Linked DNA regions of Cricetulus griseus. The protein of the gene in region 1 binds, or shares a complex with, the protein of each later gene. Links are inferred from orthologs where the notes say so. Each region holds a gene or a part of one and is shown in the gene's direction. Other genes may lie near its edges. The genes, in order: Ccdc151, Ttc25 and Efcab1.

What was found.
Region 2: Ccdc151 (region 1) and Ttc25 share a complex: the UniProt entries of both Homo sapiens proteins name them as parts of the outer dynein arm-docking complex. The link is inferred for Cricetulus griseus from reciprocal best matches to the Homo sapiens genes ODAD3 and ODAD4.
Region 3: Ccdc151 (region 1) and Efcab1 share a complex: the UniProt entries of both Homo sapiens proteins name them as parts of the outer dynein arm-docking complex. The link is inferred for Cricetulus griseus from reciprocal best matches to the Homo sapiens genes ODAD3 and CLXN.

Annotation. Positions count from the first base shown.
Region 1 is NC_048597.1:134,883,472-134,887,117, reverse strand, and holds the end of Ccdc151 (coiled-coil domain-containing protein 151), read left to right. Parts: coding exon 1-58; intron 59-957; coding exon 958-1,118; intron 1,119-1,200; coding exon 1,201-1,357; intron 1,358-1,990; coding exon 1,991-2,146; intron 2,147-2,511; coding exon 2,512-2,596; intron 2,597-2,742; coding exon 2,743-2,861; 3' UTR 2,862-3,108; downstream 3,109-3,646. UniProt on the Homo sapiens protein: Component of the outer dynein arm-docking complex (ODA-DC) that mediates outer dynein arms (ODA) binding onto the doublet microtubule. Involved in mediating assembly of both ODAs and their axonemal docking complex onto ciliary microtubules.
Region 2 is NC_048600.1:113,620,638-113,624,442, forward strand, and holds the end of Ttc25 (tetratricopeptide repeat protein 25), read left to right. Parts: intron 1-2,680; coding exon 2,681-3,087; 3' UTR 3,088-3,250; downstream 3,251-3,805. UniProt on the Homo sapiens protein: Component of the outer dynein arm-docking complex (ODA-DC) that mediates outer dynein arms (ODA) binding onto the doublet microtubule. Plays an essential role for the assembly of ODA-DC and for the docking of ODA in ciliary axoneme.
Region 3 is NC_048597.1:74,574,121-74,578,503, reverse strand, and holds the start of Efcab1 (EF-hand calcium-binding domain-containing protein 1), read left to right. Parts: upstream 1-1,496; coding exon 1,497-1,554; intron 1,555-4,383. UniProt on the Homo sapiens protein: Component of the outer dynein arm-docking complex (ODA-DC) that mediates outer dynein arms (ODA) binding onto the doublet microtubule. Seems to regulate the assembly of both ODAs and their axonemal docking complex onto ciliary microtubules.

The DNA of each region.
Region 1 (3,646 bases):
CCAGATGGAAATGATGTTTGACAAGGTCAAGGATGCCACTGGAGTGGCTGAATCACATGTGAGTGCCTTGGGCCTGCACTGGAGTGGGGCAGGCTCCTCTTCCCTTAAAGGTGTCTTCTCCTGCCCAGCTCCGGCTCTGGTAGAGCTGTCCACATCAGTCCTCACTTCCTTCCATTCTCTCACTGTGCTGACTTCTTTGGTATGCCTGTTCTGGGAGTTTTATTTGTCAGGTTCTGTTTCTAAGATCATCACTGTGTGGAATGATCTAGGATACAGTAGACTGCCCAATATTGTCCCTAACCATGGAATCCCAGCCCTTCGTTATGCCCTCACTCTTGTTAGGAGCCATGCTGTCTTCCAAGACCCTGTGTATCTCCCTCCAGTGCTTGATCCTGCCTTAGAACACACACACCCTGTCCAATTAGTTTCTCCAGTTTGGTTTCTCTGCACCCAGCTACTCCTCCAAAGAGGTTATCCCTAGGCAATCTGGGCTCTGACCTGTGAGGTCAGCTGTACATGCATTTACTAGTCTGAGGCCCTCCTTCAGAAGTGGTGAGATGGCTTAGTGGGTAAAAATGATTATGCGCAAGCCTGACAACTTGAATTCCATCCCTGGGCCCTGAGAGCACTTTCCACATGTGTGCCTTGGCACACACATACACAAAAGGCTGGAAGGCTGATTGCACCAGAGAGGCCCAGCATCTTTGTGCTATTTGGCCAGATACCCAATCAGAACTTGCGGGCACAGTGACTTTTGAAAGCACCGCTCTACCTCCGCATGCTGATTTTAGCTAACTCATATATAGGCAGGGAAAGGCGTGGGGAAAAGTACAGCCTTGAAACAGCCGGGAGACTGACCCACACAATCCTCACACATAGCTGTGTGACACAGACAGAGTCAGACCGCCCTCCAGCCTCCCTTGGCCCATGCTCTGACCAGGGATGGGTGGCCCGCAGGCTGTGTTTCGAAGGTTCCTGGCCCAGGATGAGACCTTCACGCAGTTGGAGACTCTCAAGAGGGACAACGAGCAGATGCTGGTGAAGATGAAGGAGGAGAAAGAGCGGCTCCAGAGGGAGCTGGAGAACCTCAAGTACTCAGGGGATGCCACACTAGTTAGGTGAGCCTCAAGTGGCTGAGGGAGGCCTGGGGGGCTCTGGAATCAGCCGCCTGTAGCTGCTGAACCGCCTGGCTTCCGGCAGCCAGCGGAAGCTCCGCGACACGATGCAGGAGACATTCAAGACTGAGGAGCGGCGGCGCAACGACATCCACCAGCAACTGGAACGCGCCTTGCGAACCCTCCAGGTGGCCAAGGACGGCCTGGAGCATCTGGCCAACAAACTGAGCCACGTGATAGTGGTAGGCCCCGCCCTGGTAAAGGTCTACCCGCCTTCCCGGTAGGCCACACCCAAGAAGCTCCAGCCCTAATGGCCACTGTCCCTGGGAGGCCCCGCAGAAAGCTCTACCCCATCCCTGGCAAGCCCTGCCCTCGTCCTCCCAGAGCATCAGAGCAGATGGAGTAAAGGTTCCATACAAGCCATAGGATCCTAACCCTGTCTCCTGCTCATAACCCAAGGCTCTGTTTAAGGAAGAAAGTTCCACGCCATGCATCACTGTCCAGGTTCCACATTCCTGGGGAAGTTCTCTTTCGCTCAGCCTCAAACTGACTCCATGCTCAAAACCAGCCATCCTCCCTAACCCAAAACTTAAGCAGTCCCCGGCGAGGGAAGTCCCACCCTGTCTGCAAGAGCGCCATTTCTTTAGAAAGCCACCCTCACAATGGTCTAGCTTGTGTTATTAATCTCAAATAGACCTCCCCATACTTTGTATAGCAAGTCCAAAGGCTCTGCCTTCAAGGCGGGGCTTTAATTTTAGAGGGTGTACTCTATCTCAGAACTCCCCAGCCCTGGGAAAAGCCCCACTCGTGGGTGAAGCCTGTCCCCTCCCAGGGGCCCTGCATCTCTCAGGTAACTTAGCCGGTCCCCACTGCAGGATGATAGCGTTCTGTCAGGAAAGAAGTTAGACCCCGACTCAGAGAACTACTTGTCCGATCTGCTGGAGGTTGTCCAGGAAAAGCTGCTGAGACTACAAGGGCAACTAGAGAGCCACGACATATCAGAGATGATGCGACACATCACAGAGCGAGAGGTGGTGTACTGAAATCTCTGCCGGCACAATCAAGGCTGGGGGAGGGTGGAAAACCAGAGAGCAGACGGCGATAGGAGCAATAGTGGGGATTGAGATGTGAGTTTCATAGCCAAAAAAGAGAAGCAGGGGTTGGGTGGACCCCGGATGGCAGGACTGGAGAACCTCGGATGCTCTAGAGAGGCCTCTGGGGAGGGCCTCAGAGACCAGGCAGTAGGCTTGAGTGACAGTGTAGGTCTGCTAGGAAAGGGTACGCAGCAGAGTGGACAGTGATCTCACCTGGAATTCAGGCAGTATCTTGAAGTAAGGTGGGAGAAGGAGGAACAGAGCTTCACTGCAGTCTCACACCTCTCTCCTGCCTCCTGTAGTTCCTGAGCTCATTAGAAGGAAAACTGCCTCTCTTCAACACCCGCATCCTTCTGCCCCTTGCCCCTGTCAAGGACAAGTTCTTTGGTCAGTACATGCCAAAGGAGGATGGATGGGAGGGGCACGAGGTGGCCTTAGGTCAAGGCCAAGGAGGAGGTGTTTGGTGTGGTAAAGTCTGGGAAGGGCGAAAGAAGCGATCTCTTACCCTCTCCGCCCATCATGCCTCTCTGCAGATGAAGAGGAAAGTGAGGAGGATGATCGCGATGTGGTGACCCGTGCTGCCTTCAAGCTCCGTTCCCAGAAGTTAATTGAAGCCCGCAGCAAGAAGCGCAGTAGGTCGCGCAGGTCCTAGACTCGCAGTTGCGTCCCATCGGATGCCTCCGGGCCTCTAGGGAACCCTGCGACCCGCTGGGCCCACCTACCGGTGTGGGCGGAGCCCTGGAGGCTCCTTCGAGGGCTGAAGGAGGCTCCAGTAGGGAGCACCGCAGGTCAGCAGCACCCGGAGGAGGGGAACGTCGGAGCCAGAAGTTCCCACAGTAAATCTCTCGAGGCGGGTTAAGCCCGCCTCAGAATCACGCAATAAAGGTCACTGACCAGCCTCCAGGGTACTCACCTCTTCTTGACCCTGCACTGCTCCCAAACGGCTGACCCCACAAAATACAGGGTCACACACATTTCACAGCTTCCAGCCTGAGACGATATGGCTGCCATCACCTGTGATAGAAATCCAGTGTGCCTTCCTTCCCCTCCAAACATAGGGGGCACCCCTAAACCTGGGGCTGATAACCTCAAATGAACACAAAGAACTTCCCACCCGGGGACACAGACCTGTCGCTGTCCCCGCTACACCCATATCTGGGGTCAGGGAAGACTTAAGGGCTGGGTGACAGATTGATACACCTCTGGGAAGGTCCCGGACTTCTGGGTGCCGGGGTCGGCTGGGGACCTCGACAGTCGTGCCACCGCCTTGCCCAGCCCCTCCCCGCCCGGCGACTGGACGCACAGCCGCCCCGCCCCGCCCCACTGCCCACTCCCGCTGGCCCTTCCGCTTCTCTCAGCGGCGCCAGGGAGCAGGACGGGCATCGGGGCCATGGAGAGGACGGCGGGCAAAGAGCTCGCCCTGGTAAGAGGGAACTG
Region 2 (3,805 bases), on another chromosome or scaffold:
TCAAGCACTTGCCACGTGCCCCGTAGGTGTTAGATTCTCAGAAGACAGGACTCTGGCCTACAGGAACCCAGAGGGAAGGCCACAGAGTGGCCAGCACTGGGTTCCACACTCGAGGGCTCAGCAGAGTGGACATGTGCTGTGTGAACACACAGGCTGGGGGCAACTCTAGGGAGTCAGGGACAGCCTCACGGAGGAAGTAGTCTGCCTCAAAAAAGCCCATCAGTTTTCCTGGTGAGAGGTGGAGGAGGAAGGGGGACCATTTCCAGTAGGACACAATAAGAGCAGACACTGACAGGATGAGAGGACCACACCAGGGGCCGCTTGCTCCTGCTAGTCAGGTACAGGGTGATGTACCTGTCTGTCCGTCTCATTCTGTCCTTGTACTGGTACTGAGTGGGAAGCCGAGTGAGGGTGGTAACTGCCAGGTCACATGCTAGGGAGTGTGCTGCCTGGCCACTCTCCCAGCTGGGCTGTCTGGGGTCGCTCATCTGGGACCTCTGCATTGCTCAGCAGCTTCACTCTAGACCTCCAGGAAGCAAAGGGGACTTTGACCCTTCAGGCTCTGCTTGCCCACGGAGAAGGTCTGAGGGGACAGAGAGTCAAATTATGGGCAAGCCCAGAAGAGCAGGTTTGAGAAGAGCAGCAGCCGGGCTCCATTTATTGCCCTAGTGCCAGACATTCTAGAGGGGTGGTAGGCACTATTGCCACCCCCCACTTCTGGGGACACTGTCAAAGTACTCAGTTTTACTAAGGAGGGCACTGAGGCAGGGGACTTGGAAATCCAGAGTGGCTTTCAGTTTGGCCATCTAGCATTAGATCTGGGGCCTCAAATGTGATTCCATACTGGTTTTGGTGACAGACAGCCTTTGTCTACCTCCCTCTGTGGCACCCTGACTTCAGTCATGATGCAGTGGGTGGGGTCCAGGAGCAGAGCCCAGTGTGGGTTCCTACTAAAGCCCTCCAAGATTCAAGGCAAAGTCCTCTCTAGTCCTCCTGGCTGCTACCACAGCAGGGCAGCCAGATGACAGCCCCCTTTTTGCATGCATATGTGGGCAATGTGTCGTATCGTTGGTACACATGCGTACGCATGTATGTGGAAAACAGAGGCTGACCTCTGATTCAGGCCTGTCTGGCTGTTCACATTTGCACTCCAGGGGTCACCTGATTTAACCTCCTGAGAGCTGGGATTACAGGCTGGCCTCCATAACTGCCCAGCTTTTTTTTTTTTTTTTTTTTTTTTTTTTTTTTTTTAAGGTGGTGTCTCGTGTATCCTGGGCTGGCCTCAGATTTACCCTGAGCATGGTCATCAGCTCCTGATCCTCTAGCCTCTCTACCTCCCAAACCCTGGGTTTACAGGTGCATGCCTTCACTTCCAGGGATCAGGACTCAGGCTTGTCCACTGAACCATCTCCCCAGCGCAACAGCCCTTTCCTTTTTTCTTTTTCTTTCTTTCCTTCTTGTTTTTTGTTTTGTTTTGGTTTTGTTTTGTTTTGTTTTGTTTGAGATAGGGCTTCTCTGTATTGCTTTGGAGGTTGTCCTGGAACTCACTCTGTAGACCAGGCTGGCCTCGAGCTCACAGAGATCCGCCTGCCTCTGCCTCCTGAGTACTGGGATTAAAGGCGTGCGCCACTGTCTGGCCAACAGCCCTTTCTTATCCAGTACCTGCTGTGAAGAAGCTGATTCCCTCAAAGAGAGGCCAAGTCAGTGGTTGTACATCACATGGAGCAGTTAAAAAGCCGCTGGAGCGACAGATGTGAAAAAAAGATGGCAGGAAAACTTCAGATGCTCCAAGCAGGCCCCCACTCCTCTGGGCTGGACACATGCTTGGCAAAGATCCTTTCTACCTTCTCGTGGGGGCACTTCCTTCTCTGGACAGTAGAGGGCAGTGTTGTTCATCCTTTTTACTCTGGGGTGGTGGTGAACCTGTTCAGTTTCTATTGCTGACTTCCAGGAAGAGCATGAAGGCCATCCAGGAGGTGAAAGTGACTTTCCTGTAATTATCAGAGACAAGGAGCAAGAGCCCCTTTGGTCACATAAGCACCTCTCCAGCAGCCCCTCCTGCTGCTTACAGCCTGCTCACATGTTTACAAGAGAACTCAGTGCTGACTGCTTTCCAGGGGCAAATACAACGGTGGCAGGGTGGGGACACTGGAGAAAAGAACCGTGTGTCGTTTCCCAACACCTAGGCCATTTTTTGTAAGGAAGGCAGGATGCCTTTTGCATCATCGTGGGGAAGGCATGGTGGTTGCAGGAGCCTGTGGCAGTGGCTGCTCATGTGACATGGACCAAGAAACAAGCACCAGTGCCATTTCTTGTAGGGAAAAGCACCTGTGCTTTTGGGCCAGACTGTCTTGGGTTCAAATCCTGGCTTTGCTCTTGCTTGGCGGGGAGAGATTGTGGTATAATATCCTCTGTGTCAGTCTTGGGTTCCTGTGCAGTTCCCTGATAACCAAGTGGTATGGTATGTGCAGCATCTCCCTGGAAGCCAGAGCAGGGCTGACCTCAGGCCCTGAGTAATGACCAGTTCTATCCTTTTGGAAGCCTGTGCTGTCACGCCATTTGAAAGAGCTTGTGACAGCCAGCGGGGCCCCTCTCAGGGCTTTGCTCTCCGAGGCCCAGAACTTGAGAGGTCTAGTCACAGTAGATCTTCATCCCACCCCCACCCTGTTCTGTTTTTCAGAGGAGGTCACTGCATTGATGGAGTTGCCTGGAACCTCATCAGAGAAGGAAACGAAACGAGGGCGGGAAGAATCGGACAATGCAATGAAACAGTGGGAAAGGGAACCGACAGAGAGCGAGAGAGACACCACTGATGACGAGGGGCAGAAGCACACGCAGTCGAGGACAGAAGAACAAGACACTTCTTCAGGACTTACCAAAAAACTGTTAGGGGACAGTAACGAAGTAACCAGCAGAGAGTCAAAGGAAATTTTCAGGAGAATATCAGAAGACTCCACCGACCACACAGCCTCAGACAGTGTAAGCCTAATGGATATAAAACCAGAGAAGAAAATGGCAGAAGGAGGGGAGGTTGGAAGGTTGGAGAAGACAGAGGAAGAGGACGAAGTCAAAGACTCAAATTCTTAACAAACGGGAGAGGAAGGAAGACTTGCCTAATAGGCACTAGGTTCAGGACAGTGTTTCCAGGTGAGATGCTTTTGGTAGGGGGGAAAAAAAAACAAACAAACTGGGAGGTTGCCGCCTACAAGTCATCCACCTGCCCTGTTTTCTCATTAAATATGTGTCTTAACTTTTGCAAATCCTGAGTGAGTCATTGTGCCTCCTCTCCCCACCCTCCCTATTCTCAGTAGGGAACCAGTGGAAGAGATTAGAGGTGGAGAGGCAGGTGAGCCCCAGAGAGCCCAGATCTGCTCGAAGGAGAGGAAGCAAAGCCTTGAGAGCAGAGGTGTTTCTGTCTGCTTCTCAGCCATTGGCTCACATTCCACAGAATGTACTATGTGGAGAGTACAAGGCAGGGGGTGGGGCTGGGGTATACAGAAACCACATTAGTGGGCCAGCTCAGCCTTTCTTAGCACAAGAAAAAAACAAAAAACCACACACACACACACACACACACACACACACACACACACCCCTCAGCCAGAAGCATAACTACAGACGCCAAAAAGCAATGTACATTTAGGGACTTTTCCATAATTATAGACTTTGATGTATTAGGTCTTTGTTTTTGTTTTGGCAGGTGGTGCTGCCTAGCTGTCTGGTTTCATGACCCGAATGGCACTTCCACCATGGTTTCAGTTGTGTTAGTCTAGGGGACTGTTAGAAAATTTGAAAGGATTTGACT
Region 3 (4,383 bases), about 60 Mb from region 1:
ATTAAGCTGCTCCCTAAGACACTTCCCATGCCCACGGATTATGTCATTAACTACTGACAGCCACACCTACTCCCTGGCTTTCACAACGTCAACTCCAAAATGTAGGGGGAAAAATTCTGTGATTTTATGGGAGGAAAGGACAAACTATATCCAGTCCTTCTCATTTGTTTCTACTATCTCAGAGTTTGTCAGCTTCTGGATGTGAGGATATTGGTGGTCATTTCATATTGGTTAACATTTTTCTAACAATTTTCTTTAGTGAGGCACAGTACCTGGGGTTACCAAGGGTTCTTGGTTCTGCTTTCAAACAGCACTGTAATTATTTCTACAAAAAAATATGTAAAAGAAAACCAGCCCCTTCAACACTGGAACTATTTCATTTTGGGTTGTTTTTTATTCTTGGCAGTATTTTTCTATTTTCAGTTGGAAAAGGACATTATGTTTTCAATAAACTACTGTGATTTCCCAGCCGTTGCTCTCTGAAGGTTCATGCTGAGCTAGACCATTCATTTGGGTCTAAATTCAAAGAGAACATCACATCTGTTATTGAGAAAAGTAGAAAGTACTGCAGTGCTATAGATATATAGTGATTTTTTTTTAAACATTCAGACTTGTCTTTCAAATAAGCAATGCAACAATTTCAATGGGATATATTTTTTAAAAGCAAGCTTGGATATCAACACTTAAATGGGAACCTTTCTCCATATAAGAGGATGTAACTTTACTTAACAACCTTAAAATTTGATGGAAGGTTTGGGGGAGGGAGGAGGGAGGGGAAGGGGGAAGAGGGGAGAGAGAAAGGTTCTACTTTCTCAGCAACACAGTTCAAGCCTAATTGTTTAGACTCACTTCCAGTGGTCCATTAGTCCTGAAGAAAAAGCTCCTCACACTCAAGAGCAAACAGCCGCTGTGACAATTGTCTGAATGGCACACGTATTTCCCTCCAGCACTTCCACAGATCTCCCTAAAGACCCTAAGTCCCTCTTGTGCCCATCACCCAAAACATCTCCTATATAACCTGAACACTTTCTCTTAGACTTCTGATTGTTTATGTTGCAGTCTTGAGGGGCTGTGAACCCAAAAGACAATGAAAAGTGAGTATCAAAAACTCCAACCTGTCAATCAACACAACCTGAAAAGTGCCTGGTTGGAATTCTATAACTTGGACAGTAGGGGCTGGGCAGCCATAGCTGGCAGTTTCAGCCACAGGCCTTTCTGTGCCAGACTAGTCAGCCTCCAGCGCAGAGCCAATCGTCAGCAGGACCAGCTGTTGCCATGGCTCCTCTGTGTGCAAGGGCCTCATTTATGTCTTGCCTGCCTGCCCCTGGGAGCCAATTGGTGGACTGCTAAAGCGTTGCCATGGCCACGCTGTCTGTTAGGGGCCGCAAATGCTCAGAGCCAAGGAGTCTGAAACCAGGCTGCCTCAGCCTGGAGCTCGTGAAGGACCTGGCTCTGGGCTCCAGATGACACTGAGACTTACCTAGATGAATACCATCATGAACCGAAAGAAGCTGCAGAAGCTGACAGACACCTTAACTAAAAGTTGCAAACACTGTAAGTAAGAACCGAATTCTGGAGGACCCATGACTTCTGGACCAGGTCTGTTACCTAACTTGTGCTTCCGTCCTGCTTCCACCACAAGGGCTTCTTCACAGTAAGCCACAAGAGACACCTGCATGAAAATCCCTTTTTTGGGGTGTCAGCTCCTCATGTAGTGCCAGGATCTTTAGAACACGACCAGATCACGTGCATCCAGTGTGTGCTGCCTGAGCTTCCTCTCATACCGTCGCTAAATTCAAAGACCCTCTTTATTTGCTTTTATGTTATAGAAACATGATGCGATGTCCTGGGAGGCATGTGACTTTAGCTTTAAACAGGTTGACAAGGTCTAGAAAAACATTAGAATCAAGAAGGTAGCAGAGCCGATGTATAGCACCTTCACCTACTTCCTAGCTCTTTCTAGAGGAGAAGAACCTGTAAGGTCTAAGTTCTGGAAGTTTACTAAGAGCTCCATAAGGGAAAACAGTCATCCACTGCTGGGCACCTTTAAGAAAGACACTTGCAGTTCCACAGCAATGTTTTAGGATGAGGTAGTCTATTTGAAAACTGCATTGCTCAGCAAATTAAGATGGTAAGGAATCTGTGTTCAGTTTCAGATGCTCAAATACCAATTGCTAATGGGGTCTAAAGGTGAGGGAGATCCTCCAGGTGAGCAGACACCAGAGCATTGTACTCAGACTGAAAAACAGAGTTGGCCCTTGGGCTAAGAAGCTGTGTGTGGATTTGATTGGGATGAGGGCACTGTTGTCTGGTGTGGGGACTCACAAGTTGTGTGATGATTGAAAAGCTTTTGGTCACGAGGAAAATAGAAAAGGTTCAAATATTCAAATCATCTCAGTTGTATGAAGATGTAGAAGTGAACTTTTAATGGAGCTCTGGGGCCTACTTTCTTTTACATCATTGGTATCTGATATGTGTAAGAAATGATGTTATGGGTGTAGACCCAGAACTGAAATTTGTGACATACTGTCACACTGTGAGCATCTTAAAATTCTCAGAAAAAGGCATCCAACCATTTAAGCTGTTTATTAATTTGATAGTGATTGTGTTCTTTTGCTGTTTTCCTGAAATGCTTTTATCTCTTGGAGAATACCTGATATTTCTAAAATGAGTACAAACATTTCTGATGAATATACAACAGATTAATAACTGGCACATGTAGTGCTCAATTGATTGAGTCTGTTTAATAAGTTCACATTGCTTCACTACCAAACACTGAGAACAATTCAAAAATAAGTGGTTTTCCTTTTGTGTTTTATTTGCATTACTCAGGACTGAAATGCTATGCAAGCAATCTACCACTGAGCTAAAATCTAAACTCTATATAGAGAGTTTAAATTATCAGTAAAAACATGTCTTTAAAAAACTCTTGATTTTTGTTCTTAAGTAAAAATTTTTACATAAGTCCTAGAAATGTTAATGATTATTAGTGAAAAGTAAACTGTCAAACAGCTGCAGCTCATAGACATTGTGATCATTTAAAATGTCTTTAAGTGGCAGATGATGACACAGTGACTGAAATGGATGTGTTGTGTTGAACCAGAGAATAAAGGGTCTTAGGCATGCAACTAGTTAATCCACCTGCTACAGATGAGAACTTCTGAACCCATGTAGGGACCCTGTAACAATGAACGGCCAATCTGGGATGTGTCTTAACTTAATGTAATATGTTGAGAATTCAAGGGGACAGGAAAGTAATACAGGGAGAAAAGATAAATTCTACTAAGAACGTTTGAAAAAGTCAAAGGAGAACATTATTTTATAAATTACTTAAATATTCATTAGCTAACCTGAACAAGCGGGAGCTCATGGACCCCAGACTGATATCTGGGAAACCAGCATAGGACTAGTCCAGACCCCCTGAGTGTGGGTGTTAGTTGGGAGGCCTGGGCAATCTATGGGACCTCTGGCAGTGGATCAGTATTTATCCCTAGTGTATGAATGGGCTTTGGGAGTCCATTCCACATAAAGGGATACTCTCTCATCCTAGACACATGGGGGAGGGCCTAGGCCCTGCTCCAAATGATGACAGACTTTGAAGATTCCCCCATGGAAGGCCTCATCCTCCCTGGGAAGCAGAAAGGGGTTGGGATAGGGGGTTGGTGAGGGGCAGGGGAGGAGGGGAGGGAGAGGGAATTGGGATTGACATGTTAAACAAGCTTGTTTCTAATTTAAATACAAAAGAAAAATATATAAAAATAAAATATTATTGTAATATATGTATACACATATATGCACACATATATATGGAGTTATGGCACATGAAATGAGGGTGTTTCCCCTATCCCAAAGAGCCAGGCACAATCTAACACAAAATTCAGTTCCAGGCAAACCTTCCCTCAAGGTATTGATTAAGGGAATACAAGAGATTTCCAAGACAATTTGGGATGTAGCTTTTGCCATTAATTGCCTTCCAGAACTTAAAAGTGAGACTCTATTGCTGAAGATACCACACACTTGGGCACAGAATTTGGAGAAACTGAGCTGCCACTGACCAGCTAGTCCCTGAGGACTAGTTCTTATAATCTCTTAAAGTGCTGTGTAGGCTGCGATGGGAGAGGAGCAATGAGTTGTCCTACCCAGAGTAAACCCTATGAGCGAGGACAAGGACTGGACAAGGGCACTTTTATCTTGGGAACAACCAACAGCTTTTTATTTGAAATTATGGTCCACTAAATAGGAAAGAACTCATGTAAGGTACTGTAAACCTAGCCAGCTAACCTGCAGGATAACCTATAATTGCCACTTTTCTAAACCATCGTAATTTCTAACTGTATTCTAAATAATTATTCTTACAGCCACAGATAAGTGTAGTTCTCGCTC